Linked DNA regions of Tamandua tetradactyla. The protein of the gene in region 1 binds, or shares a complex with, the protein of each later gene. Links are inferred from orthologs where the notes say so. Each region holds a gene or a part of one and is shown on either strand. Other genes may lie near its edges. The genes, in order: GTF2F2, GTF2F1, POLR2C and GTF2H4.

Region 1 (7,507 bases):
AGTTCTAAGGCCAAGAAAATGTTCCAATTAGAACAAGTCGATAGAAATGTCCAATCAAAGGTATCCAGGGAAAGATACTTTGGTTCAAGAAGGCTGATGAAGTTCAAGGTCTCTCTCTCAAGTGAGAAAGCACATGGTGAACACAGTCACAGTTTCTCTCTCGGCTGGAAGGGTACATGGCAAGCACGGCGTCATCTACTAGCTTTCTCTCCTGGCTTCCTGTTTCATGAAGCTCCCTGGAAGGCGTTTTCCTTCTTCATCTCCAAAGGTCACTGGCTATGGACTGTCTGCTTTGTGGTGTGGCAACATTCTCTACTCTCTCCAAATCTCCTTCATTCTCCAAAATGTTACCTCTTTTATAGGACTCCAGAAATTTATCAAAATCCACCCAAATGGGTGGAGATAGGTTGTCACCTAATCCAGCTTAACAACCACTCTTGATTTAATCATATCTCCAGGGAGATGATCTGATTACAGTTTCAAACATACAGTATTGAATAGGGATTATTCTGCCTTTACAAAATGGGATTTAGATTAAAACATGGCTTTTCTAGGGGACATACATCCTTTCAAAAGAGCACAGGCATCCAGGGAAAGATACCATGGTTCAAGAAGACCAATGAAGTTCAGGTTTTCTCTCCCAAGTGAGAAGGCACACGGCGAACACAGTCAGAGTTTCTCTCTCATCTGAAATGGCACATGGTGAACACACATCATCTGCTAGCTTCTTCTCCTGGCTTCCTGTCTCATGAAGCTCCCCAGGAGGCATTTTCCTTCTTCATCTCCAAAAGTCAGTGGCTGGTGGATTCTGCTTCTCGTGGCTATGTCATTCTGCTCTGCTCTCTCTGAATCTCCCATTCTCCAAAATGTTTCCTCTTTTATAGGACTTCAGAAACTAATCAAGACCACCCACATGGGTGGAGACATGCCTCTACCTAATCCAGTTTAACAACCACTCTTGATTAAATCACATCTCCGGGGAGATGATCTAATTACAGTTTCAAACATACAATACTGAATAGGGATTAGAAGAAATGGCTGCCTTTACAAAATGGGATTAGGATTAAAACATGGCTTTTCTAGGGTATATACATCCTTTCAAACCAGCACAGTGATGAATATACAACTATGTGATGATATTAAATGATTCATTGATTATATGTGAAGAATGATTGTACATATGTTAAGAATGTTCATGTTTGTATGTTGTTATGTTTGTCAATAAAAAAATTTTTTTTTTTTTAATTTACCACTGAAGGTTCCCACTTTTGATTATGCTTTACATTTCAGTGAATCTGGTCATCACTTATTTAAACTCGTTTCTACCTATTTGGGCGCCAATTCTAGGCTTATATCTGAAATTCTCTCCTTCCTTGCCTGCAGGATTGGTTAGAGCTGTCCTGCAGCCGTTTCCTGCACTATCTTTTGTGAAAGCTAAACCTCATTTTATTCTTGCAACACCTCTTCTGGCCTTGCCCATCTCATTTGATGACAACTTCAACCTTCCAATTTCTCAGGAAAAATTTAGATCCAACTTTGAATTCTCTCTTACACATCCCATATCCAATCCACCAAGAAAGCCTGTGGGCTCTGCCTTTTAAAAAAAGGTATGTTCAAGGACTTTAACAAATATAAAGCAAGGAAAAATATAAGGGACCCATAATTTCAATAAAATGTTGAAGATAGCAACTGAGGCGGTTTAGACACACGAAAAACATCTTGCAGGCCTCTGAGGCAGGAGGAGGGCATCTTCCTAAAATCTGAGGAGGTTGAGCAAAAACAGGATACTTTGTTCAAGCACAGGGCATAGACCAATCACAATAACCCATTTACAATTTTTAACTTGAAAGTCTAGAAAGCTTATCACAATAGCCTATTTACAATCCTTAATTTAAATGTTTAGTAACCAATCACAATGTACCAATATCCCAAACCCCACCTCCCTCTGTTTAATCTGATAAACCCTTATGCCAAACAACTTGCCCAAGTTTCTCCCCTGAGCATGCATGTGTTCCATGCACCCATATGCTCTCCTTTCAAGTGTGTACTTTGTTTTTCTTCAATAAACTTTTCTCACTTGCTTATACCTGCATGTCTCATCCTTGAATTCCTCCTTGCGGCGAGACATCCAGCCTGGAACCAGGCTTGAATGACCTCTGACAACAGCAACCGGTTACAATAGATGGACCTTACTTAAATCTTCATTTAAGTCAGCCAACTGGATATTTCATTTTAGGAGTGATAGTATGGTTAGTCTTTTTTTGTTTGCTTTTGTTTTTTAAGAAATATGGATGAAATCTAGAATTTGCTTGAACATATTTGAGGTGGGCTTCGGATGGGGTTCTAAATTAAACAAAATTTCCCATGAGTTGATGTTCTAGTTAGCTAGCTGCTGGAATGCAGTATACCAGAAACAGAATGGCTTTTAAAAAGGGGGATTTAATAAATTGCTAGTTTACAGTTCTAAGGCCGAGAAAATGTCGCAATTACAACAAGTCCACAGAGATGTCCAATCAAAGGCATCCAGGGAAAGATACCTTGGTTGAACAATGCCGATAAAGTTCAGGGTTTCTCTCTCAAGTGAGAAGGCACATGGCAAACGCAGTCACAGTTTCTCTCTCATCTCAGAAAGGCACATGGTGAACACGGTGTCATCTGCTAGCTTTCTCTCCTGGCTTCCTATTTCATGAAGCTCCCCGGGAGGCATTTTCCTTCATCTCCAAAGGTCGTTGGCTTGTGGACTCTCTGCTTTGTGATGCTGCAGCATTCTCTGCTCTCTCTGAATCTCTTTCATTCTCTAAAATGTTTCCTCTTTCATAGAACTCCAGAAACTAATCAAGACCCACCCAAATGGGCAGAGACATGTCATCACCTAATCCATCTTAACAACCACTCTTGATTATATCACATCTCCAGGGAGATGATCTGATTACAGTTTCAAACATACAACGCTGAATAGGGAGTAGAAGAAATGGCTGCCTTTACAAAATGGGATTAGGATTAAAACATGGCTTTTCTAGGGTACGTACATCATTTCAAACCAGCACAGTTGATAATTACTGAAGTTGGATGATGGAGGTTATTGTTGTATTGCTACATTCATAAACTTTTGAAATTTTCCATAATGTAGAAAGTAAGAAAAGCTTGGGTAAAACACACACACATACACACACACAGAACAAACAAAACTTAAAGTAGTTTCTTTTATCTACTTGTCCTTTATATACTTTTAGACCCCTTCCCAAGCTGTGACACAAGAAAAGAACCTTTTTTTCTAACACACTGCTCCCATCTTTCCTATTAGTTTTCCCAGGTGACTTCAGAGACCTGATAGTCTTCCAGGCCCTGTGCAGAGAGACATGGAATTATTTTTGTGCATGACTCAATGCGTGGTTTAATACACTACTTGCCATTCTTACATCTTACTGTTTGTTTTTCTCCAGCAAATGTTCATTCAAGCAAAGGCTACTGAGATCTGACAATGTGTCAAACACTGTGCTAGACGTTATGAATATAAAAATGAATAAAATGCTATTTCTGTCTAGGAAGAGCTCATAGTCTAGAAAGCAAAGGCAGACATGTAAACGTATATTTCAGTGCAGTATGCTAATACCACACACTGTAATATGAAAAACGAACTTTCTCTGGGGGAGTTTGATAAAAGGTCTCATAGAAAGTGACACTTCCATCAGTCTTGAAAGATTAAGTAGGAGCTTGCCAAGCAGGGGACAGCAATGCGAGTGGGCGTGAGGGAAGAATAGGACATCAAATGGAAGGGAATTAGAGCCTCTGAAATGATTGCCGAAGATCCTGTCATATTCACAGAGGTCTGCTAGGTTCTGCGTGGTTGAATGTTTGGTGGAGAGGAGTGGCAGGAGGTGAGAAGGAATCAAATTGGGGAGGCCCATGCGGCAGAGAGGATGGAATTTTATTCTAGAGGCAAGAGAGACAGGAAACTGTTGAAGCTGGGAAATTAAAAAACTAGGCTTGTCTCTCACATGTCCACACTGTTTTTGACCTAATTATATATATGAGGTCCGGGTTTTGGAGCCTTCAAGGTGTGCCTTCACTGCTCAGTCAGAGGTTCCTAGAACAGCCTCTTAAGTTGAGACACTCTTCTTTTCAGGTTTAGAAACGGCACGTTTTCAGTATACCCAGGGTTAATCAGTCCCATCTCAGGGCTCACGTGTGCTAATTCGCGTCCCAGAAACTTTGAACACCAGTGCAAATTTACTATTATGCGCACCCTGCCCAGCAATTTTCTGACTCTCTCTCCTTAACCAGGGTTGGACATAAACTGGCAGCTTTTGTCTCGCTGAACTCCATTTTTCTGCTTTGACATAGTCTTTGAAGGTTTGCTAGCGTTTTGGCCCGACCCACTTCTTTAAACCGCTCAAGACACCACCAGCTCCACGACCATTCACCGGCCACGCTCATCCAAGAGGCCCGCCCATCTGACGCGGATTTTTGCCTGCAGCAGCACGCCGTACTGACGTCAGCAGTGCGCAGGCGCAGTTCTGGTCACCAGAGGCGTGTTTCTCTTTCCTCGGGTTCCCTGCTTCCTGGCTGGTGGGCGATCCCGGCATTTCGCACTCTCACTCCCTCCGCGGCTCGACCTTTGCTCCGGCGCACGCCTCCATCGGTGACCGAGCCATGGCGGAGCGCGGCGAACTCGACCTGACCGGCGCCAAACAGAATACGGGAGTGTGGCTGGTCAAGGTACTGTTCGCTTGGCTCCCGCCTGCGTTTCTTCTAGTAGAAATTGTTTAAGTCACTTGAGACAGTCCCACTCCGTGCAGCCTTTAAAGTCCTTTTATGACCATCTTATTAGAATTTCGCATACCTGAAGAGGCAGGAGTTAAGACGTTCGTTTGTAGACGGAGGTGCTCAGAGAGACATAGTGTCGTTTCAGTCAGTTAGGAGTTGGCTCCTGCCTGGAATGCGTCTCCCTTCCCCACGAACTGGCTTGCCCTGGGACCTGTCTTGGTGTCCACGACTTCAGCTTTCTCTCTTAGTGAAACCAGTGTTAGTCTAGAGTCAGCATACTGAATTTAAGAAACTGCTTTCTTAATCTTCTGTACGGTCTTCTTAGCTAGAAAGAAAACTGGTCCCTGCATACCCTTGAAAGTGTTCTTTTTAGTCGGCGGCGTCTTGATGGAGAGCACCGAACACATGGGAGAAGAGGCTATCGATGGCTGGAGTTTCTTTTTTTTAATTAGAGAATTTTGGGTTTACAGAAAAATCGTGCATAAAATGCAGGATTCTTATATACACCCCACCACCACCACCCGTACTTTGCATTAAGAGTTTTATCGTCAAGTCCATGGTTTAATTTAGTATTCTGTTTCTGTAAGCAGTTCCATGGATTAAAAAAAAAGTTTTATTGTTACGTTATATACAATCTCACATTCCCCTTTGAATCATATTCAGCCATACATTTCAGTGCTGTTAATTGATTTAACAGTGGTGTTGTATCATCACTACCATCCATTATCAAAACATTTCCATCATTCCGAATAGGAACCCTGGGCATTTTAAGCCTTAACTTCCTGCCCACCCAGTCCCTTGGTAACCTATGTTCTAGATTCTGACTCTGTGTGTTTGCTTATTCTAATTGTTTCAAAACGGTGAGATCATACACTATTTGTCCTTTTGTGTCTGGCTTATTTCATTCAGCCTGTTGTCTTCAGGGTTTGTCCATGTTGTCATATGTATCAGGGCTTCATTCCTTTCTACGGCTGAATAATATTCCATGTTTGTATATACCACATTTTGTTTATCTGTTCATTGGTGGATGGACTCTTGAGTTGCTGCCATCTTTTGGCAATTATGAATAATGCTGCTATGAACAAGAGTGCAAATGTCTGTTCCTGTCCCCGCTTTCAGTTCTTTTGGTATATACCTAGTAATGGGATTCTGGAGTAGTATGATAGTTCTGTACTTAGCTTTCTGAGAAACTGCCAAACTGTCTTCCTCAGTGGCTGCACCATTTTACATCGCCACCAGCAATAAATGAACGTTCCTAGGACTGGTTGCTTCTTTTAGGGCACTTAACGGGTGTGGTGAAATTGACAGTAAGTGTTTTTTTTAACGACTGTTTCATGTTTGGGCTACATCATTTGCAGTCAGTAGCCCTTAGAAAGCACAGTATTTGTGTTTGACTTGTTTTTATTGGGGAGTGTTGTCTCTTGGAGTTTCAGAAGACATAGGCATGTTCAAAATATGAACATGACATTCTTTGAGCCTTACATAAAATGTAGGGATGTTTGGTTTGTTAATACGTGAGGGACTTGTCACATGGATGAGTCCTCATCAATTAAGTTTCAGAGAGCTCCTTCCTGTCCACTCCTTTAAGCCCTTTTATGGTCATTTGTGAGCATGTCAAACCTGTATTATAGTCATCAAAGCACTGGGCATGGTCTAAAATTATCCCCCTCCCCCAACACACAATCACATTCTGTGAAAAGCATCCTTACCTATTCTGGGTATCCTTGCATGTTACCCAGAATAGTGTTTGGCACATGTAATCACTTAAAAAATATTTGGTGAGTGAATGAATGAATGCATGATCTCTCTTTCCTTGCCCTAGTCTGTGGCACTCTTTTGACTTATTTCCCGGCCACATCAGTATGACTTAAAAGGCTAGAGTAAACAGCCATTTGTCATTCAAACTGCATGCTAAACGGAGGAGATTCTTTAAGGAGAAGCTCTCTCTTGTTGGATGAAGAAGAGAACTTGAAAAAGTTGTGGATCTTGATGTGTCTGTGCTTGGAGCACACTAAATGTTTTGTGTTACAGAATTTAGATTGGTGAACAGAGATAGGACATAGTATACCCTGAAGATCAGAGCAGAAACGTGAAGCTGAAAATGCATTTTAATGTGATATGTTTTGGAAAACGAAGAGGAGATCATTATGCCTAGAGCAGAGAGTGTCCATGAAAAAAAAGTTGGGAGGTTGGAACCATGTATCTAGATTGTCATATCATGAAATGGGGTTGTTTTGGTCTATATGAAGTGATGGATCTTTGGAGAGTTTTGAGTAAGTTAGGAATGCAAAGCATTCTTTTAGGAAAAGGTAAGCTTAACAGTGTCCAGTAGGAATTAGAGGGGGAAGGTGACCAGAGTGAAAATTGGAAAGTTTTTGCAGTAAAATAGGTATGAGATGATGAGATCTGATGAGTAAGGGAAACTTTCAGTAAAAGTTGTTGGGATTTGATGACTGACAAAATGAATGTGAAAGAATGTAATGAGTATAAAATTGAAGAACTAAAAATATTTTTGGTGTTTTCCCATCTAAGCCCATTTGAATACACTTTATCTTTTAAAACGAACTCAAGCCAATGATTTATTCTTATTTTATAGATAGTTGTAATGTTTTGATTATTTTTTTATTTGCCGAATCATTAATCTCTTGTATCAACTTGGCATGCGTTTTTTTCGTTTTTCTAATTTTATGGATGAAGAAAGTGAATGGACTTGCAAATATATCTTTCAGGGGTGTGAAAG
Region 2 (8,006 bases), on another chromosome or scaffold:
GTGCTGCCCGAGGCTCGGGGAATGGAGTCATTTGCTGGAACTTCATGTGCAGGAAGTGGCAGAGGGTGACCTGAGCCCAAGTATGGCTCCCCTCAGGGCAATGTCAAGACAGGGCATCCGGAGACCTGAGTTCTGACCTGTGCTCCCCACCTGGGTAAGTTTTCCTTCTTGGGTCTCAATTTCTCCCTCTGAAAAATAAGGTTGTCAGTCTCCCTGGAACAGAGATCATGTCCAACCTTGGCTTTCTATGAATCTTCCTCTGATGAGGTCTTCAGTGTACAGTGAGAGCAAGAATCGTGAACAGAATAAGCGCACACTTCTAAGCATTGTGTTCTTAAGTGACGAGATTTCTATCTGGACATCCATCTTCAAGCCAGGCCAGCATACTGCACCAAACAAAGTCAGCCTTAAAACAGCAGCTGCGTGAACCAAGCGGGATCAGCGATGGTGCTTCCCAGTTTGTGCAGCTGGATTGAAGGGCCGAGCTGGATGGCTCCAGGGATGCTTTCCTGCTTAGAACCTGTCCAGTCTGATGACCCTTAGGTAGAGGGGCCAGGCCGACGATGGAGACCTAGAAAGTTCTCCACGTCCACAAAGCAAACGCTAGCAGAATGGACAGCCCTGTTCATCTCTGGTCTTCTCACTTTGGCAGCCACACATTCCTCTTTCAATTGAAACAAGCCTGCATGATAGTAAGTGAACAGGTGACCCCTGGGCTCGGTGCTCGAGTGAGAGCTGGGAGGGGGTCACCGTGGCAAAGGGAGAAGGCCCAGCCTGTGCACGGCTGCTTGGGGGTGTGGTTAAGAGCATGTAATTGGGAACTGGACTGCTTGGGCTTCCATTCCGCCTTCACAAACACTTAGACTGTGTGACCCTGGACACGGTCCGAGATCCTCTTGTGGAAAGGCAGTATGGGGACTAGAGCCATCCCTGACGGTGACAATTCAGCCATGCCAAGCGTAGAGAACAGTGCCGGCCCAGCCAGCACTCAAGACGCGTCCCCGTCCCTGTTGCCAGGGGGACGCATTGCCAAGTCAGCCGGCTTTTTTTCAAGAAATGTGATCTGAGATCTCCCAGTTTCTGAAGGTTCACTAAGAATTCAAGAACAAGGCTGTCTAGTCCCAAATGGATGCATCTGTGGATCAAATGGGTAGGTTGTAGGTTCTGTCTAGACTCTGCAGCCACTGTGGGGTCCATGCAGCTGGCAATTATGATGGGAAACCTATTTAAGGCCAGAACTTGGCCCTGAGGCCATGGAGGGCAGAAAATGGCTCAGCCAGCCCTGTGCTCTCCTGGAGTCTCCATCCAGGAGGGAGGGAGCCCAAGATCTGCCCTTTAACTTCATCACAAGTCGTCTGGTGTAACTGCTTGAATGGAGACAGGGACACAGGGCAGCACCCCACTGCTCTGTGACCTTTGATTGCATCAACACATCCAGACCACTTTGAAGGGAATTTAACCAGAATCGACACCCGCTGTAGTTTCCCTCTTCCTGCTACCCATTTCCAAATGGAATCAGAACAATCCCAGATGCTCCTGCCCTCAGCCTCCCCGTTCAGAGGCTCAGATGGATCCTTTCATGGAGTCAGTGTCCACAGGTAAAATTAACCTGAAGAAATCCACTCCAATGTCCTCTGTCCCTTCCCTTCCCCGCCTCTGCCTGGGTCGCTATTCCACCACCTCTGGGGCTGCTTCCAACTCCATCCCTCCACTCCTGGGCACCCCCCAGACCACCTAAACTTAGAGAGCCCACTCCCATCCCTCCAGGATTCATTCTGCTTTCTGTTCCCCACTGCCCTCATCCCTTCCAGAAGTTTCTTTGTTTTGTTTTGCACGTATTGCTGGGCGCCTGATGTCCCCACTGGAATGGCAGCATCTTAAAAGCAGGGCCCATGTTCCTCCTCTTGGCCTTTGTCCCCAGGCCCGAGGACAGCACCTGTTCTCAAGAACTATTTGGGAATGGGTGGTTGAATAGATGAAGGAGTGGTGATTTACATCCCATCCTGTGCCCTAAAGATGATACAAACTCAGTGGGGAACTATTTTATCTACTGGGTTCCAGGAGCTCTGGAGGAAAACAGTGAGAGGCCCTCAGAGAGCTCACTCAGGTTCTAGAAACTTCCCCACAACCTGACTGTCCCTTGATAACACATTTCCCTTCGGTCTCCTCTGCCGAGTCTCACTCTGTTGCCCTCGGCTTGCCCTCACACACACATACACGTGCTTTTGGGGTCACTCACAATGCACTCAAACTCCTTGGCCTGCTGCAGTTCCCGAAGGAAGCCATCAATGAGGAAGCCCTGGCTGTCCGGGCAGGACAGCAAGTTGTCGCTGACCATGTCCAGGATGATGCCCTGCGAAGGAAGCAGGTGGATCTGGTGTTTGGGGTGGGGCAGGGGGGCCCTTCCCTGCACCCACCACCCTGGGAGAACTTTTTTTATATGATCACTTTGATGGGGTGACACCTACCCTGCCCAGTGGCCTCTGAAACCCACTTCTGAGGATGGGCACCCCCCCCACACTGTTGACTGGGTGGGTGTCAGTCCAGGTGTGCTGGGTCCCATATGATTGAAATAACAATATCTCGAGGTGGGTCCTGGTGTTACAGAGGGGGTCCGGGGTCCACCCAAGGCCACAGAGGGAATAAGGCCCAGATGATTTTATGGAAAGCTTCCTAAGTGCCAGGAACTTCTGCTCAGTGCTTCAGAGGAGTGACCCACGCCTTCGGACATGGGTCCAGTCGGTCAAACCTGTCTCCCAGATGAGGAAACGGAGGCTCAAGGCAGGCCAAGCAAGGGCTGGGAGCCACGGCCACCTGGGAGGTCTGCCTGGTGCACCCCCTCCTGCCCTGACCCTTGCCCATGAGCTCTCACCGTGGGCACCAAGAGCCCCTGCAACATGATGTCACGGATCTGCCGGCCCCGCTGAGTGCCCCGCTGCGCCTCCTGCCGCAGCAGCTGGCCCAGCCCCACGTGGCAGAAGCTATATCTGTTTGCCATATTCTTGCACTGCGTCCCTTTGCCACAGCCGGGGCCGCCCATGAAGAAGACGATGAGGGGGTCTTGAGGACACCTGTGGTGCCCAAGGAAGAGGGAGGAAGACGATTTGGGGTCTGATGGGCTGGTGAGCACCAGTGTAGCTGTGTTCACAGTTAGGGCGTGCTCTTGGGTGGCAGTGCACACAGGTCTCCTGGCATACCCTCTTTTGCCCTAGGATGGCCTCTGGGGTCCCTGGACATATCCAGGAGTATACCCAGGCACGTTATGAGTTGCTACTGCCATGGGCGGCTGTCCACGAGCAAATGAACTCGAGCAGGCCAAGCTCTTCACAGCATCTCCTTGAATCAGCCCACCAGCTCTATCATCGCATTTCACAGTTGAGGAAACTGAGGCTTGTAGAGGAGCAGGGACTCTCCCATGTCCCCAGACTCATTCCATCCTCCCCTGCCCCATCCCAGTGCCCATTTTTCTGTTCCTTTGAACATGCTGAACTCATTCCTCCCCAGGGACCTCCACCTGGAACACTGCTCCAGCTCCTTCAGGCCACACATCAGCCCAATCCTCCCCCTCTCATCCCCAGTCTCAGGACACCATTTCCTCCACAGCAGAGACCATGGCCACTAATTATTTTGCCCATTTACTTGTTCTTGTTTGTCTCCCCAGCCGGACTCTGTCCTCCATGGAGGCAAGGACTCTTTCTGTCTCGCTTATCCCTATATTTCGAGCGCTTGGCACAGTTCCTGATATATAGTCATCAGAGAGGAATAAAGTAATGCCCAAGGCTACCAGGCACATCTACGGAGCCTGTAGTTTACAGTTGCATTTTTGTGTCTTGCTCCCCTCTCCCTTTGCTTGGTAACTCTTCTGCATCCCTCGGGGCCCAGCTGAAACCTCCCATCTCTCCTGAGCAGGGAGTTGGTTTTGCTCAGTCCCCCAAACAGCGCAGCACACAGTCGGAGCAGGTGGACCAACGAATGAATGGCTGCGTGGTGAGCATGCGCGGTCGGCGGAGGCGGGGAGACCGCGCATCTGCACTTCCCTCCTCAGTTCCCTTCCCCTGCCCCCAGAAAGCTAACCACCCCAGCTGTTACCCTTCTCCTGGGGCCTCAGGGTCCTGCCCATTTTGGGCAGCTTGGACTTGCACAGACCCATCCCGTCAGCCGCCAGAGGGGTGGTCGCTACCCATCCCTACCCAGGGCCTGACCCCTCCTGGCTAGGCTCGACGTCACAAGGGCTCCCTGGTCCGACCATCTTCCGGGATGAGGGGGTTCCCCGGGGGCAGGAGGAGGAAATGAACCCCAAACAAGCCCTGGTGGAGCCGCAGTGGCTCTGCGGGATGAGTAGGCCTCGGCTGCTATGGTAACAAGGATTCGATGGATTCACTTCCGGAGATGACGCGTGCGCAAGGCGCCTGGGACTCAGCGAGGAGGGAGACCCCCTTTCCCTACCCAGAATGCCCCGCGGCCATTAAGGGGTGACGTCGATGGGGAGGGCGTTCCCAGCCGCAGTGATTGAATCAGTCGCGCCTCTTTCTATATATAGATAGTGGAAAACCAGAGCGCGAGCGGCAGAAGGTGCTGCATTGAGTTCAACTCGGTCTAGAAAGAGAAGGGATAAGTGTCAGCAAGTGTAGGGGCCCGCGAACCAGGAGGCGGTTGCCATCGCGACACGGGGCCACGGAAAGTTTCGCTTCCAGGTCAGGCGGCGGCGCAGGCGCAGACGGGCGGGAGTGGGCCGGCGGCGCTGAGGACTTGGGGTCTTCTGTCAGCGACCGCTTCCCGCGACTAAGAGGACTGCTTCCCCGAAGGCTGAAGGACGCGAACCTCGGGGGAGGCAAGAAGGAGGAGGCCCCGACAACTTGACTGGGTCGGACGGCACCCGGACCACTGACTGTTCCCATGGCGGCCTTAGTAAGTATGCGGCGGCTTTAGGGAGTCCCGACCCGGGTCTCTTAGCAGCCCGCCCGCTCGTCATCCCACTTCCTCTCTCCACAGGGCCCCAGCAGCCAGAATGTCACTGAGTATGTCGTCCGAGTTCCTAAGTAAGTCCCAACCCCACATCCCATCTGCCTCCAGACGGGAATTACGACCTCTACGAGCTTCTAGGCGTGTCTGATTCCTTTTAGATCGGGAGCCTTTGAGGGCAGGTTGAACTGAGGTCTCTCCAGGGGCTTCTGTTGTTTTGAATGAATAAGCGGGCGATCATCACTGCACAGCATGATTCAGGCTCCTGGCCTAGCATTGGAGGCCTGTATGCTTCTCTATTCCCCGCATTCTTGCTGTAAGGACATATTTTTATCCTTTCTCCACTGGTCTGGCTTTCATTCATGTCCAGGACCTCCAGGAAGCACTCCCTGCTTGCCTCCAGCTCTGCCCCCTCCCTTGCTCACCCTACTCTCCAGAGCCAAATTCCCCCAGGTCTTTGTCCTTATTTCTGCTGTACTTTTGCCTGTGGTTGGGAGAGTGTGGATCTGGCTTCCTTGACAGACTGGAAAACCCTTAAGTCTTTTATGAGTCCCTAGCATTGCCCTGCCCAGAGGGTCAGCCCAGAAGGGTTTGTTGAATGAACAAATGTATGAATGAATGAACACTGCCTTTTTTTTTTTTTTTTTTTTTTTTTTGCCCACTCAAGAAACACAACCAAAAGGTATAATATCATGGCCTTTAATGCAGCTGATAAAGTCAACTTTGCTACTTGGAATCAGGTAAGTCCTTTGTTTGGGGGTGGGAGTAGGTGGATGAGGGAATGAGAGAACCTGATTCTAATAGCTTGGAAAGGAAGGCTGTCCTGGAGTGGAAATAAAGTGATGACTAAGGCCCAGGCAGAGCTGCTGGATGTCCGCTTAGGGGATTTGGCAGACCCTTCAGAAAGCCTTCTTCAAGGAGAATGTTTAGGAGTCATGCCCACTAATGGGCATTTTGGGCCCAGATTGTCAGGGCCAGGAAGGGACTCTGCTCTGGGCTGCCTCCTACACGTGGCTCCAGAGCCCCCTGCAGGAGAGCTTCTAGAAATGACCTTGGAAGCCATGAAAGGGTTTTTCAAACAGGCAAGTCACAGAGTTATCTAGCTGCTGGGGCTAGGGAGGCAGCACTGCGTCTGGTGAGCAAGGCTGGGAGAAAATGGAGGTGATGAGCAGTGGTTGGACTCTGATATGTTTCGGAAATAGAGCCTACAGGGTTTATTGATGGATTGCGTATTGGCCAGTGAGGGAAAGTGAGGAATCACAGATGTTTCCATTTACTAAGATAGAGAAACCTGGAGAAAGTGCAGTTTGGATGGAATATTCCAGAACTCCATTCTGGAAATTTGTATTTGTTAGATACCAAAGAGAAGATGAGAAGTTAAGCAAGCAGTTGGATATATGAGTTGGAGTTTGGGTGTGAGTGGGAGTCGGGGTGTTTAGGGTGCCACCGAGACTGGGCAGTTGAGCAGGGAGTTGGTGGAAGGTTTATAGCATTGGCAGCTTCAGGCCCTCCCACAGTTGGGCAGCTCTGATTGCATATATTGTGAGCATGGTTCTCTTTCAGCTGTTTTCAAATATTGTTTCATCCAATTGAAATAATGAAACTATATGTTCAAGATGGCTCTGAGTGATTGATTGCCCTAGAGAGCGTGTTCCAGAGAGATATGCCGTGCCTGCATCCCGGGATCTCTAGCTACAGATCTCTAGCTACCTACTTACGTACAAACTAACAAGGTCAAACTAACATGCTTTCCACCCCCTACCTGGTCCATTCCCCCCATCCCAGCCTAGTCTGTCATCTGATACAGTGTTTCTAAATCCCTTATCACTGGGGGAGGGGGGCTTCTGCACTAATCATCCAGGAGAGAGATGTAGGGGCACCCTTCTCCCAAATCCCTAATCACCAAGAGGAAGTCCTCACTGGTTACCTGGGAACATTACCCTTAGTCCTTCATCAACCAGAGGGCTGCCCTTCCCTACCCCCATCCCCGAGCACCTAGAGAACTTTACACCTTTGGAGGAGCTGTGCTCCTAAACACCAGTCACTTTGAGGAGGTGCTACCCCAACACTGATCTTTCAGGGACAGCACTTGAGAAGTCAGCATTATGCAAGGTGCATGACCTCCCGACCACTAGAAACTCGGGGTTCTGCGTACCCCATTCATTGATCGCCATGGAGAAGCATGCCCCCACCACTGATTGCCCTGGAGGACTCCTTGTTTCTAATCTGGGAGATGAGGCACCACCACCCCCCCCCCAAAATCTAATCATTCCATTGCCGAGGGTACTGCTTCTAAAGAAATATCATTGTTCAGGGTACCCTCCTCTAAAAAAACTAATGAGGAGTGGGCAAAACTGCACCCCTTGGAAGAAACCAATCTCCTGGAGTAGATGCCCCCTTAATCACTGTTTTAGTTTGCTAAAACTGCCAAAGGCAATGTACCAGAAATGAGTTCGGTTTTACAATGGGGATTTATTAATTTACAAGTTTAAAGTATGAAAATGTCCAAATCATGATGTTTTCTCCCCATTGACTGATGATCCTCAGTTCCTCTGTCACATGGCGAGGCATGTGGCTGGCATCTGCTGGCCCTTCTTTTTCAGGTTTCCTTGCTTTCAGTTACTGTCTGCTCAGACTGTGGCTTTCTTTCTGAGTTTCTGTGTGCTTCTCTTTTAGCTTCTGTCCCTCTTAGCTTGTGTCTGATTCTGAATGTCATTTCTTATGTAGGACTCCAGTAAGAAGTTTTCAGACCCACTTGGGGCATACCTCAACTAAAATAACCTACTCACAAGGCCCCCACCTGCAATAGGTCTACACCCATGGAAATAAATTAGCTTTAAAAACGTGATCTTTTCTGGGATATGTACCATCACATTCACTCATCACCCCAAGAATGGGGTGGTTACAGCTCTCCAAATGCTGTCAGCCACAAGGGACAGCCCCTTTCCTGACACTTAACCACCCCCAGGCAACACTGGGGTAGAAACTACCCCCAGACACATTCATTCAGCAATAGTTCCTTGAAACTGTCTTCTAGGCTGATG
Region 3 (7,299 bases), on another chromosome or scaffold:
TAAAAAAATCTGGAGATGTGAAGTAAATATGGCAAAATGTTATGATGGGACATTAATTAATAGGAACATCTTCATTTGTTAAACTACCTCCATAGTTTTCTGGATGTTTGAATGTCTTTTTAAAAATACATATAGACTTACAAGATATATTGAATTAGCCACCGCAGAAATGACATGCCCTTGGGAATATTAGAAAAGGGTCAATTCAGGATCACCCAAAGACATCATGAGCTAATAGTCTCAAATTACCTAATGCAGCCCTAGTGAAGGGAACCCAACCCAATCCCACTCTATCCCCAGTCTGACAAAGACCTTTTACTGCATCCTCTGGGAGAGCAAACGTACAGGTAGAGAGCAAACCTGCAGCACCTGCGGGGGAGGGGCATGAACCTGGCAGACACGAATAGCCAGTCCCTCAGGTGCAGTTCTTGTGGGACAGCTCCCAATCCTTCTGCTCCTCTCCTTCACCATCCCAACTTCCCATTGACTTCCTTTAGCCTCCTAAGCCTCCGTCACTGGGAAGAGAGGCCCTGGAATACAGAGTCTGAATAGCTCAGACTCTGAGAAGATACAGCCCTCACTCTTCAGTATAAATGAGCATTCTGGGGTATATACTATCCTCTTGTGTGGCTACCTAATGGGACTTCCTGATGCCCCCTGAGCCTACTGAATCTGAAGCCCTGTCAGAATTGAGGACCAAGCCCTGTCTCAGGTTCTTGACATATCCAGACTGTTGGGCAAAACCACTCTGAGAACTGTAGGTAGGCATCTCCCACTCTGCCTCCCCTTTTATTCAACCACAAAGCATACCCGGGAGTTCTGTAGCTTTTCCACAATGTCGTCACTTGTGAGGGGAATCAATCCTGGAAAACACAAAAAAAACACTTTAAAGGCTAAGCAGCCAACCCAAAAGGGAACCTAGAAGATGCCACGATGGATGCAAGTAAGGTTTCTACCAGGCACTGCACCCTCCAACACCCAAACCCAACACTCACCAAGCCTGTGAGCAATGAACTCATCATGAAGGACTGAGGAATTGGCATCAATCTGTACCCAGTCAATGGCTAAAAGTGAAGGAAACAGAGATGCAGTTTAGCCACCAAATTCAGCTACAGAATTAAGAGTAGTGGTTTGTGAGATTTAGAAATCACCTGCTATTTATTATATCATAGGTGCCTTGGCCAGGCTGCCAGAGACTGATCCTACAGCTCTAGAGTGGCCCAGGAATCTTCATTTTAACAAGACACACGGTGAATGTAATGCAAAGGGGTCTTTGTTATCACAAAAACAAAACATTGTCTTAGAGACTGGGAGTGGGAACATATTTCTTTGTGCTGAATACTTTCATGAGAAGCACTAATTTGCTACCCATGGGAACATGAATTCCAAAAACACAAATTATTTGGACATTTAAAAATTGGGTAAAACCTCACAGAAGTAACACAGACTTATGGCCCTTATCTCAGTTTATGAACTAGTGACCAGTTCACCCAATTTTGCACTTTATTAAATCAATTCATGTTAACTGAATTCCTCAACAGACAAGGCATACTAAGTATAGAACCCCATACCTTCTAATGAGCTAGTGGGAGGAAAAGGGCTCTATTCTCACATATACTTGTTTAAACACACGTTCATTCATTCAAATGAAGGGCCTAAACATGAGGAATGGGGTCAGAAGAAGGCCAGCCCTAGCCAGCCCTGACTTCCTTTGTCCTGCTATGCTTTCTACTGCTTCCCCAACCCAAGCCATTTGCTTCAGCCGAAAAAGGACCATAACCCAAGCTGTTCTGTTTCTGCCTCATTACTCCCCCTGATATACCCTTACCCTCCCCTCTGCCTGCTGAAATCCTGATTCTCCAAAACCCTAGCCTTGCCTGCCTTCCATGAGACATAAGCAATCACTCTCTCCCTTTGAACTCACTCAAAAAACTGTCCAAACCTCTCAAGGCATTTATCATATTTTGCCTTGTATTTTATTTGTGTGCACCTTGACTCTACTTCTAGCTTTGAAAATTCTTTGCAGTAGAGTCTTGAGATACCTTAACCTTTGTATTCTTGGCTGTGGCTTGGACTGTAGGAAGTACCCAATATTTGCAGAATTGAATTTGTGGAACAAGTGGCATTTAGACTCAGAATTCAGGCTGTATCATTAAGTCCAACTAGCACTCCATGCTCTGAGTTGAAGAAGTGATTGGTGCCGAGGTGGGAGATAAGCCACAAAATAACATTGTGGCTTATCACTTGGCCTGTTCATTTCACAATAGACTGCACACTGATGCAGTACCTATAACATTCTTCTTTTGCTTAAGCAAAACTCTGGGAGCAGACACTCAGAAAATTCTGTAGTATACTTGTCAATATATCAAGTACCTGGAAAACCAGAGCAGAAATCGAGTCTGTCCCCTCTAAATGCCAGTGTATATGGAACGGTGGACCTAAGTGACCCGTGAGAGTCAGGGAAGTGACCAACAGTGGCCAGGCCAAGGACATGGGGTTAGGTAAGTCTCCAGCATTGCTGTTTTCTCAGTGCTCCCAGCTATACCCCACCCTTACCCCCAGCCTCACCCAAGGGTTTGCAGCAGAAGCCCCATGGGTGGAGAGGCAATGTGGCCAAGTCGCTTACCTATTATAGGCACCTCGGCGATGAAGACCCTCCGAATAGAATTAGCCACCCTGAGGAGGGAAAATGAAGCAGGGTGAAGGCGCCGCCACGGCCGGCCCCACTTCCCAAGCGAAGACCCTGGCACAGGAGGTGCCAGTTCTGGAAGGATACGAGGTCCCCAGCCTCCCCTCCCTGGGACACTCTAGCACTAGAGCCTTCAGTCTCTTCCCTCCGCAGTCTTACGCCAAGTCCGTATTCTCAATGATGAACTTGACATTCTCGTCCGTGAGCTCGGTGATTCGCACCGTGGGCTGGTTGGCGTACGGCATTGCGCCTCGCAGCCGGCCCAGCCTCTGCCGTCAGCTCCGCGGCGTCTCAGCGGCCGCCCATACCGGAAGTCGCCTGCAGGCCCCGGCTACTTCCGCTAAGACGCGCTCACAGCGTCTCCTGCTGTTCGGAGACCAAAACTGCTCCGGGCCTGACTATCGAAGGAAGTTTTTGTAAATCCAACTGCTTCAAAACGCACCAGGTTCATTTCGCAGGGAAATTTGACATTGCCCCCAGTCCTGAATGTATATAGCTTTAAAAAAATTAATTTATTTATGATACATAACCGCATACAAACACAAACATTCTTATCATATGATCATTCCGTTCTTGTTATATAATCAATAACTCACACTATCACCACATAGTTGTACATTCATAATCATGATCATTTCTTGATTCCGCATCAATTCCGAAAAAACAATAAAAAGAAAACAGAAAAAAATTCATACATACCATACCCCTTACCCCTTCCCTTCACCGATCACCAGCATTTCAATCTACTAAATTTAACATTTGTTCCCCCTTATTTATTTTTAATCCATATGTTTTACTCATCTGTCCATACCGTAGATAAAAGGAGCATCAGACACAGGCTTTCACAACCACACAGTCACACTGCGACAGCCATATCATCATACAATTATCTTCAAGAAACACGGCCCGCCACTGGAGCACAGCTCCACATTTTCAGGCAGTTCCCTCCAGCCTCTCCATTACACGTTAACTAAACAGGTGATATCTATTTAATGTGTAAGAATAAACTCCAGGATAGCCCCTCAACTCTGTTTGGAATCTCTCAGTGTGGTAGTTAGATTCACTTGTCAGCTTGGCCAGGTGAACATGCCTAGATCTATTGCTGTGGACATGAGCCAATGGCATGTGAACCTCATCTGTTGCTGATTACATCTGCAGTCGGCTAGGCGGTGTGCCTGCTGCAATGAATGATGTTTGATTTAATTGGCTGGTGCTTAAATGAGAGCGCTCAAGGTAGCACAGCCCAAGTAGCTCATATACTTCATCTCAGCACTCACAGCTCAGCCCAGGCCTTTGGAGATGCAGAAAGAAATCACCCTGGAGAAGGTTGTTGGAACCCAGAGGTCTGGAGAGAAGGCCAGCAAAGATCACCCTGTGCTTTTCCACGTAAGAAAGAACCTCAGTTGAAAGTTAGCTGCCTTTCCTCTGAAGAACTAACGAAATAAATCCCGTTATTAAAAGCCAATGTCTCTGGTGTGTTGCATTCCCACAGCTAGCAAACTAGAACACTCAGCCATTGATATTTTATTTTGTCTCATTTTGCTCTCCCCCCTTTTTGGTCGAGATTTTCTCAATCTCTTGATGCTGAGTTCCAGCTCATTCTAGGATTTCTGTCCCATGTTGCCAGGAAAGTCCACACCACTGGGAGTCATGTCCCATGTAGAGAGGGGGAGGGCAGTGAGTTTGCTTGCTGTGTTGGCCAAGAGAGAGAAAGGTCACATGTGAGCAAAAGAAGAGGTTCTCTTGGGGGTGACTCTAAGGTCTATAAATTTTAAATAGGCTTAGCCTATCCTTTGCAGGATTAAGTTTCATATGAACAAACCCCAAGATTAGAGGCTCGGCCTATTGCTTTGGCTGTCGCCTACTGCCTGTGAGAACATCAAGAACTCTCCACTTGGGGAAGTTGAATTTTCCCCCTTCCTCACCATTTCCCCTAGCGAACTCTGCAAATACTTTCCTATTCACTGTTCAAATCGCTCTGGGATTTATCTGGACATCACTCTGGACAAACATACAAAATCTCATGCCCTACGCAAGGTTCCAAGTACTATGGTGTTCGATTAAGCTGTCCACATAAGTTATATTAGGAAAAGACCCAAATGCATATAGCTTTTAACTCAGCAATAACACTTTTAGGAATTCCTCAGCAGAATATATTTGCACTTGTGAGTAAAGATACATATTCAGGGACATTCACTGCAGTGTTGTTTATAATGCCAAAAGATTACAAACAAAACCAATTGTCTGTTGATAGAGACTTGGTTAAATACATAAGAATAAAGTGAAGCCCATAAGAAGACAGAAGTAAATTTTTAACCTCTATGGAAAATGAAAGTATGCTTTAGTAATGAGAATACTTTAGCAAAGTATACTTGAATGACAGGTCTGTACCCTATCCCTTCCCCTCTAGTGGCTTCTCAAATTGCTGAAAACAAAAGACAAAAGTTAATGCTCCTTATTTTAATAAAAGAAATGAGACCTCTTCCTGAGATTGAGAGGAAGAGCTTGAGGGCCCTAGCTCCATGACCTGTCTAGTGAGGCTGAATGGGGGCCCTTACAAAAGATATGTCCACATCCTAATCACTGGAACCTGTGAATATCGTATTTGTCTTTGTTAATATAACTAGGTTAAGGATTTTAAGAAGAGATCATTCTGAGTTATCCAGTGGGTCCTAAATCCAATGACAAGTGTCCTGATAACACACAGAGAAGACACACACAAATAAGGCAATGTGAAGGTGCAGGCAAAGGTTGGAGTTATGCAGTCACAGGCTAAAGAATGCCAATAGCTACTTGAAGATGGAGGAGGTAAAGGGCAGAACCTCCCAAGAACCTCTGGAGCAAGCACGCCCTGTGGACACCTTGATTTTAGACTTCTGGCTTCCAGAACTTTGACAGCACAAGTTTCTGTTGTTTTAAACCACAAAGCCTGTGATTATTTGTTTAGAAAGCCACAGGAAATTAATACAGCCTGTGCCTTCTCGGTTAAATAAAAAAACACACATTTGGAAGTGCTATTCTGTGGAAATAAATTGGAAAACCTAAATTTCTTATAGAGCCTTCCAAAGTGTGTAGGATCAGTACATACAAATCAACTTGTTCCTTTTATATAATTCTTTACATCATATAAAAATATAATTATTTGATCAGTTCTATAATGATGGACATTAAGGGTGTGGCTAGTTTTTTACTTTTATATATAGGGCTGTATGAACATCCTTTTCCACAGTTAAGTACCAGTTAAACAAATTCCTTCACCTGAAACTGCTCAAAAGGTATGAATACATTTTTGATAAATATGACCAAATAATCTCCAGTAAATCCCCTCATGATGTTATTTCCTGATTTTCCATCTTTGCCGATTTGAAAGGATGTATGTACCCTAGAAAAGCCGTTTTAATCCTAATTCCACTTTGTAAAGGCAGCCATTTCTTCTAATCCCTATTTAGTATTGTATGTTTGAAACTGTAATTAGATCATCTTCCTGGAGATGTGATTTAATCAAGAGCAGTTGTTAAACTGGATTAGGTGGCGGCCCATCTCCACCCATTCAGGTGGGTCTTGATTAGTTTACTGGTATTCTATAAGAGAGGAAACATTTTGGAGAAAGGGAGATTCAGAGAGAGCAGAGTAGAATGACATAGCCACAACAAGCAGAGTCCACCAGCCAGCAACCTTTGGAGATGAAGAAGGAAAATGCCTCCTGGGGAGCTTCCTGAAGCAGGAAGTCAGGAGAGAAAGCTAGCAGATGACGTCCTGTTCGCCACATGCCCTTCCAGATGAGAGAAACCCTGACCGTGTTCGCCATGTGCCTTCCACTTGAGAAACTTCATTGGCCTTCTTGAATCAATGTTATCTTTCCCTGGATGCCTTTGATTGGACGTTTCTATAGACTTATTTTAATTGGGACATTTTCTTGGCCTTAGAACTGTAAACTAGCAACTTATTAAATTCCCCTTTTAAAAGCCATTCTGTTTCTGGTATATTGCATTCCGGCAGCTAGCAAACTAGAACACCATTTCTTGGCAACATGGATATTATCAAACATTTTATTCTTTGTTAATCTGATTTAAAAGTGATCTTTTTGAATACATTTTTATTTAATTGAATCAACTATGCAGATTTTTATAGTCAGATTGTCCACTAGATTCTACGAATTTCATTGAGAGTGTATTAAGAATGTCCTATCTTTCCACTCTTGCTAATATTAAACCCTAGTTATTTTCAAGTCCTTAAATGATAGGCCTTCATCCTTTCCCCTCCACCCTCAAGTCTGGGTCACATATGTGGCTTCTGAAGCTGCTGGGAAAAAAGCCCAATGTTCTTTACTTTAATAAAATGTATTATCTCCAGTGTTGATGGTAGCACAGCATTGTGAAGGTAATTAAAATCACTGAATTGTAGGCTGCAAAGTAGTTAAAAGGGAAATTCTTATATTGTATATATGTTACCACAATTAACAAAAAATCCCTCATAAAACTGTACAACACAAAGAATGAGCCGTAATGTAAATTGCGGCCTTTAATTAACGATATAATTAAATAATTTTGATTCATCAATTATAACAAAGGTAGCACACTAATGAAAAATGTTAATAATAGGGAAAACCA
Region 4 (6,822 bases), on another chromosome or scaffold:
CTATAAATTTCCTTTACTATAAGACTTAAAAGTCTATACATGTCATGACTTGCTCTATTGCCAAGAAGAAAAATACAGTAGGCAGAGTTTCTTAAAATTACTTAATTATGAATTTTGTAGTATACCCATTAATATTTCCTGGAAGTGACCCAAGAAACAGCAGTTCGGGAAATACAGCTGTTAAGAAATGTGTATCTAGATAGAGGAAAATGTTGGGAGATATCTTATGAATCTTACAACTGGAGGTGGTTTTATGGACCTTAAACCTAAAGCAAGAACACTGAAGAAGGAAATAAATAAATGGGAGCTCCTCAAAATTAAACACTTTTGTGCATCAGAGAACTTCATCAAGAAAGTAGAAAGACAGCCTACACAATGGGAGACAATATTTGGAAACGACATATCAGATAAAGGTCTAGTATCCAGAATTTATAAAGAGATTGTTCATCTCAACAACAAAAAGACAGCCAACCCAATTACAAAATGGGAAAAAGACTTGAACAGACACCTCTCAGAAGAGGAAATACGGATGGCCAAGAGGCACATGAAGAGATGCTCAATGTCCCTGGCCATTAGAGAAATGCAAATCAAAACCACAATGAGATATCATCTCACACCCACCAGAATGGCCATTATCAACAAAACAGAAAATGACAAGTGCTGGAGAGGATGCGGAGAAAGAGGCACACTTATCCACTGTTGGTGGGAATGTCAAAGGGTGCAACCACTGTGGAAGGCAGTTTGGCGGTTCCTCAAAAAGCTGAATATAGAATTGCCATACGACCCAGCAATACCATTGCTAGGTATCTACTCAAAGGACTTAAGGGCAAAGACACAAACGGACATTTGCACACCAATGTTTATAGCAGCGTTGTTTGCAATTGCAAAGAGATGGAAACAGCCAAAATCTCCATCAACAGAAGAGTGGCTAAACAAACTGTGGTATATACATACGATGGAATATTATGCAGCTTTAAGACAAGATAAACTTATGAACCATGTAATAACATGGATGGACCTAGAGAATATTATGCTGAGTGAATCCAGCCAAAAACTAAAGGACAAATACTGTATGGTCCCACTGATGTGAACAGACATTCGAGAATAAACTTGAAATATGTCATTGGTAACAGAGTTCAGCAGGAGTTAGAAACAGGGTAAGACAATGGGTAATTGAAGCTGAAGGGATACAGACTGTGCAACAGGACTAGATACAAAAACTCAAAAATGGACAGCACAATAATACCTAATTGTAAAGTAATCATGTTAAAATACTGAATGAAGCTGCATCTGAGCTATAGGGTTTTTTTTGTTTTTGTTTGCTTGTTGGTTTGTTTGTTGTTGTTTTTTTTTACTATTACTACTACTTTTATTTCTTTTCTTTACATTAACATTTTATATCTTTTTCTGTTGTGTTGCTAGTTCCTCTAAACCGATGCAAATGTACTAAGAAACAATGATCATGCATCTATGTGATGATGTTAAGGATTACTGAGTGCATATGTAGAATGGTATGATTTCTAAATGTTGTGTTAATTTCTTTTTTTTTTTCCGTTAATAAAAAATAAAAAAAAATAAAAAATAAAAAAAAAAGAAATGTGTATCTATCTGAGGATGCATTGGAAACTCACTTGCTAAATTCCTTCTTCACCCACAGGGCTACAGCAGCTTGTGGTAAAGGCTGTTCCAGAAAGAGCATACGCATAACCCAGTTCTTAGCTAAAGATGGGAGCTCCCTGTAGAAAGTAGAGGTCAAATGTTATCATCAGAAGCTGATTTATATCTATAATTGCCTCCAAGAACCTCTCAAATATTTCATCTCACCTCCTTACACACACAAATACAAGTCCTTACAAGTGCCGGTGCCCCCCAAATCTCAAAAGTCCATTCGTTTTGGTCTGCCACCCTTTGGAGTAATCTCCAAGAACCCTCAGGGTTAACTTATTCCAGTCTGCAGGCTCCCATTACATTTCCCCACCATGGTCCTTGCCATGAAGAGGTCCTCACCTGAAGACAGCCAGACAGGTGGCAGGGTGCCCATACAATCGGTCCAATACCCCTGGGCTCAAACCCCCTAAGAATTCCTGCAGGTTCCGGCATTGTAGGTGTACTCGGTTCAGTCCACCCCGTGTGGGGGTGCTCTCCATCACCTGAGAGACGCCAAATATTAGAAGCACATCCCCACCATCCATGACTATGTCTCCCCTCACCTTTCTCATCAGAATTCCAGATCCCTCCACCCCTACCCCCACCCTAAATAACCCAGGTTTTCTGTGGCTCCCTCTTCCATATGCCACTCATCTCATGTTACTTCAAAATCTGACCAGCCTCCTCTCCTTTCCTGCCTCCTCAACCCACTTCTGTCCTCAACTTCAGTCTTCTCTGTTTCCAGGTGACAGAATTAATGATCATTTTGTATTTCAATGACTTGTCTTATCTTTAATTGAGCAGTTGAGCCCGATTTGCTTTCATCCCAGCCCCTCCTGGCCAGATCAACCTGTGAGATGCAAATCTGTCAGTCCTTCCCACCTTCTATTTCTTCGCCCTGCGTCTCTTGCTAAGCATCACAATAAACTACCTCTGCCCTCCATGTCTCGCCAATCGAATTCCACCTTTCTCCCTCCCCCCCAAGTCTCTTTCACCCCATTCACTCTGACCCCACACCGTCCTATGTCCTAACTTTTCCTCTACTTTCCTCCCACTCCGCGCCTTTCACCCAACTCTGCCTGATACCTCCGCCACCCCACCTTCCCAGGGCTGCCTCACCACTTTGTTGATCCCACCTCGTGCACCCCGAGTCTCGAGCGGTCGCTTAATCGGAGCCAATGTTTCGCAGTAGCTCCTGGGAATAGGGGAAAGAATGGTGAAAAATACGAGAAAAAAAAAATGGGGAGAAGAACGAAAGACTCCACAGACAGGAGCCGAGAGGGACGGATTCAGAAGAGGAGTGGAAAAGTGGAAAGGCAAGAATAAGTGCTGCACCCGCCTGTCGCGGGGCATGCTGGGAATTGGAGTCTGGTCCTCGCTCGCTCCCATCGGGCTCGCACGCGCATGACTACAACTCCCGACAGGCACCGCGGAGAAGCGAGCCGGGGAGAGGCTGGTTTTAATGGAGAGAGCCGAGGACGCCAGGCCGGGCCGATTGGTTCCGCTGCTCACTCCGCCCACGCTGATAACGGCGCTGCTCACCGGCCTTAGCGGGAGGCGGGACCCGGGAGTAGATGGGCCGCTTGGAGGAAGCGCGCTGAGATGCGGCGGCGGTGAGACGCTTAGGCTTATAGATACACGAAACTGGGTTCCTTGAGCTCATTTACACCCCCCTAAAATTGTCATAAAGCACACTCCTAAAGTGTTTTCGCGAGTTAGGTGTTAACACGACCCATTACGCCTTACTTGGCATGTAAATCTTAATTTCCACCTCCACCACGCTTACACCGTTTATTAGAAGGTCCTGATAAATACAATTTCTTAAAGAAGCCAGTCGTTTGCTCTGATTTGATTTTCGAACCTACTGCAGGGAAAGGGAAAGGAATGTCTTCAGTCGAGACCAGAGCTACGCGTTTCCCCAAGTTTCTGTGAGGCGACCTTTGTTCTTTCCACTTTACAGACGAGAAAACCCAAGCTCAGCGAGATGAAGAAATTTGCCCACGTATGAGACAGCTACGAAGTGATGAGGCTGGGTTTTGAGACGCGTTTACAAGGAAGCGAGGGACCGAAGACCAAAATGCTAAGGACAGCCTAAGACTTCGTTAGCCTTTGCAGCTGGTACATGTTATCTTCTTGTTCCCTGTTTCTGTGGCAGTCAGTGTTTAAAATCCTCAAAGCATGACAGAGAACTGATAAAGCTTCTTTATGGCACAAGGTAAAGAAAGTCAAAATACAAATTATAGCCTGGGAAGAAATGTTTGATAAAACAGATAAAATGCAGAAAACTTACAGAGCAGTAAGAAAAAGGAACAGTGCAATGAAAAGATCTGCAAAAGAGAGGAACAGGCAAAAAGCAGAAGAAATACAAATGCCTTATAAATAGAGGAACAATTTGCAGCTTCACTAGTAATTAAGGAAAAGTAAATTATGAAACAAAATATGGTAAATTAAAGAGACAATAAAATGTCAGATTAGGAAAAAAATGAAGTTAAGGGTTGACAACGTCAGTGCTGGCCAGGATGTAAGAGCATACACATACACTTGTGTTGAAGATTGGCATATGCACGCCTTTTTAAGGGTAATGTGGCAGTATCTAGCAATATTTTAATGTGACTTAGCAACTCCAGCTTTAAGGATATATCACACTGAAGTTCTCCCACATGGGTGCAGGAATATACATGCAGAGATGTTTAGTGAGGCATGTTTGTTGTTGTATTATGAAAGCAATGGAAACAACCCAGATGTCTGCCCTCGGGGTCGGTTATATAAAACGTGCATAGTCCCAACAATGTAAGATACTGGGCAACACTTTGAAAGGAGGCCAGGTATATTTAGTGGCCTGGAGCTATCTATGGCCTATCAGCAAGGGGAGAAAAGCAGATTACAAAATGGTGTACATAAATTAATGGCACCTTTGTAAACAGATTTTAGGCATGTGTAAAACTGAAAGGCCATTTGGTTCGTTTTGGAGGGAGCAGACAAAGGCCAACTGGGCAGACCTCTTGGCGAGCCCTGCTCTACGGGATGCAGTGGGTGAGGGCAAGATGTCCAGTGGCAGGAACTGAGCACATAACTGTTCCTGGAACTGAACTTAAGGAAGAAAATCAGCTTGCTGGGCCTGACAGGGGGCCTGGGGGCTGAAATTGTGGAAGGAGCTCCCTGATAGAGGGTTGTCCAGTCTGTGCTTGGAAATGCCCTGCTATGGAGAGCTCACAACCTCCTCCCAACAGACAGCTTCCTGGACAGAAAGAACATAGAGCCACCCTTTAGCATGCTTCCCACCCAGTGCCGCCATCTGCTGGCTATGCAAGTTTAGGCATGTTGCTTAACCTAATACTCTTCATTGTGAAATAAGTAGGATACCTAACAAATATTCATCATCATTACTGATTTCTATAACTTTCACGTATTGACCCTGGTTCCCTAGCTACACAGAGTAATCCAATCCCTTATATTAACCTTTAGATATTTGACAAAAGTTCTTTCTTTCAACCAGTATTTACTGATACCTTTCAACCAGTATTTACTGAACTTGCCCTTGTGGAGCTTAGTCTAGTGGGAAAGGCAGGTATAAGAAAGTATATGTGCACAAATACATGTAAAATCGCACCTGTAAAAGTGCTACAAAGAAGAGATTGATGGGCTCTGAGAGTATCAGTAGAGGATTTGACCTGGTTAGGGAGGTGAGGTACGGCTGCTGAAGGGCAAGTAGAAGTTAACAGGACAAAGACAGCAGGCACGGTCCAGCTGAAGGAATAGCATGCTACAAAGGCTCTGGGCAGGAGGAACTGTGACATGTTGGAAGAGCTGAAAGAAGGCTAGGGATGCCTAGAGGAGAGGTCAGAGAAGGACTCTAGAGAGGTAGGTGTGTGTGGCCCACACTTGGCCAGAAGATGTTATTTTTTATTCTAAGATCAATGGTTTTGAAATAAAGGAGCAGAGTCGGACATGTGTGTTTTGTTTTGTTTTTTAATTACTCTGGCTGCAGTGCCAAAAGGAAACCACAGCGGAACAGGAGCAGATCTGGGGGTGACCGGCTAGGAGACTGCAGCGGTTCAGGCAAGAGGGCGGTAGCCCGTGTCGGGACAATGATGGAGATGGTGGGAAATGAATGAGTTAAAGGGAAACTGGGGCAGCATAATCAACAAGTCTTCATGGACAGACTGGACTTGGGAAGTGAGAGTAAGGGGGGAGGAGGTGTTAAGAAGAACTGCCTGGTTTCTGGCTTGTCCAGTTGAGTGGATGATGATTTACTGAGTCAAGAAACCAGGGAGGAGGAACAGGTTTGGACATGCTGAAATTGACATTCAAATAAACTTCAGGTGGTTATTGAGGTCTAGAGCTCAAAAGAGAGTTCCAGGCTTACCGCTATGGCTTCCATTGCTCGCCGTTCTGGGTCTGGCCTTGAAACTCCAACCTGTGGGCGCCCGTCTTAAATTGTGGTACACAGTGGTCTGACCTGTGTAGGTTTCAGTAGGACTGTTAGACCTGACCCCCGAGAGCCTGTTCATTCAACGTAAGACTAAAGTATCTTTTATTGGTGTGCTCATTATCCAGTTGACTCGCTTTGAGAATAGCATCAACCAAATACCCCAGGGTCTTTATTTCTCATGAACTGCTAGCAATACGTGTCTGCCCAGTCCGATACTTGCAACTATTTTTGGTGGCTGTTTTTTTTTTATTTATTATTATTTTTTTACCTCCTCCCTTTCCAGCCAAATCTGTACTCTTTGTTAAATGCTCTCTTGGTGGTTGTGACTCATCCTTCCAGGCCTCTGAGATAATTTAGGCTCTGGGTTCTGGCTTCTATCCAAACAGTTCGAACCTATTGGGCTATTTGTACAGTTCATCAGCCTAATCTAAATTAGGCTGGACTTCACCTGGACCTCCCAGATCCTGAGAGGGTCCTAGAATTTGGGTAAGAAAAAAAGGTTACACCTTTGTTTTTCCTAACCTCTGACTGAAACACTTCCTTCAATTATGAACATAGAAAACCCCACTGAAAATCAGTACCTGTGGCTTGTCACTAATAGGACATCACAGGTATTTTTATATCTCATTACAGCTGTTGTGGAACTCTCAAAATATTCTTCATGCTCATGGGCACATGAAAATGTCAGCAGTTAGCACAACTCCTGCTGGATGTTAATATTAAATATATTTAAAAGAAACATA

The links.
Region 2: GTF2F2 (region 1) and GTF2F1 share a complex: the UniProt entries of both Homo sapiens proteins name them as parts of the TBP-based Pol II pre-initiation complex. The link is inferred for Tamandua tetradactyla from reciprocal best matches to the Homo sapiens genes GTF2F2 and GTF2F1.
Region 3: GTF2F2 (region 1) and POLR2C share a complex: the UniProt entries of both Homo sapiens proteins name them as parts of the TBP-based Pol II pre-initiation complex. The link is inferred for Tamandua tetradactyla from reciprocal best matches to the Homo sapiens genes GTF2F2 and POLR2C.
Region 4: GTF2F2 (region 1) and GTF2H4 share a complex: the UniProt entries of both Homo sapiens proteins name them as parts of the TBP-based Pol II pre-initiation complex. The link is inferred for Tamandua tetradactyla from reciprocal best matches to the Homo sapiens genes GTF2F2 and GTF2H4.

Annotation. Positions count from the first base shown.
Region 1 is NC_135330.1:113,744,425-113,751,931, reverse strand, and holds the start of GTF2F2 (general transcription factor IIF subunit 2), read left to right. Parts: upstream 1-4,496; 5' UTR 4,497-4,653; coding exon 4,654-4,719; intron 4,720-7,507. UniProt on the Homo sapiens protein: TFIIF is a general transcription initiation factor that binds to RNA polymerase II and helps to recruit it to the initiation complex in collaboration with TFIIB.
Region 2 is NC_135337.1:75,641,732-75,649,737, forward strand, and holds the start of GTF2F1 (general transcription factor IIF subunit 1), read left to right. Parts: upstream 1-5,039; intron 5,040-5,123; 5' UTR 5,124-5,183; coding exon 5,184-5,278; intron 5,279-5,629; coding exon 5,630-5,702; intron 5,703-8,006. UniProt on the Homo sapiens protein: TFIIF is a general transcription initiation factor that binds to RNA polymerase II and helps to recruit it to the initiation complex in collaboration with TFIIB. It promotes transcription elongation.
Region 3 is NC_135342.1:51,142,286-51,149,584, reverse strand, and holds the start of POLR2C (DNA-directed RNA polymerase II subunit RPB3), read right to left. Parts: upstream 3,012-7,299; 5' UTR 2,935-3,011; coding exon 2,849-2,934; intron 2,677-2,848; coding exon 2,627-2,676; intron 1,065-2,626; coding exon 996-1,064; intron 864-995; coding exon 811-863; intron 1-810. UniProt on the Homo sapiens protein: Core component of RNA polymerase II (Pol II), a DNA-dependent RNA polymerase which synthesizes mRNA precursors and many functional non-coding RNAs using the four ribonucleoside triphosphates as substrates.
Region 4 is NC_135331.1:85,837,100-85,843,921, reverse strand, and holds the start of GTF2H4 (general transcription factor IIH subunit 4), read right to left. Parts: upstream 3,015-6,822; 5' UTR 3,001-3,014; coding exon 2,767-3,000; intron 2,151-2,766; coding exon 2,008-2,150; intron 1,737-2,007; coding exon 1,632-1,736; intron 1-1,631. UniProt on the Homo sapiens protein: Component of the general transcription and DNA repair factor IIH (TFIIH) core complex, which is involved in general and transcription-coupled nucleotide excision repair (NER) of damaged DNA and, when complexed to CAK, in RNA transcription by RNA polymerase II.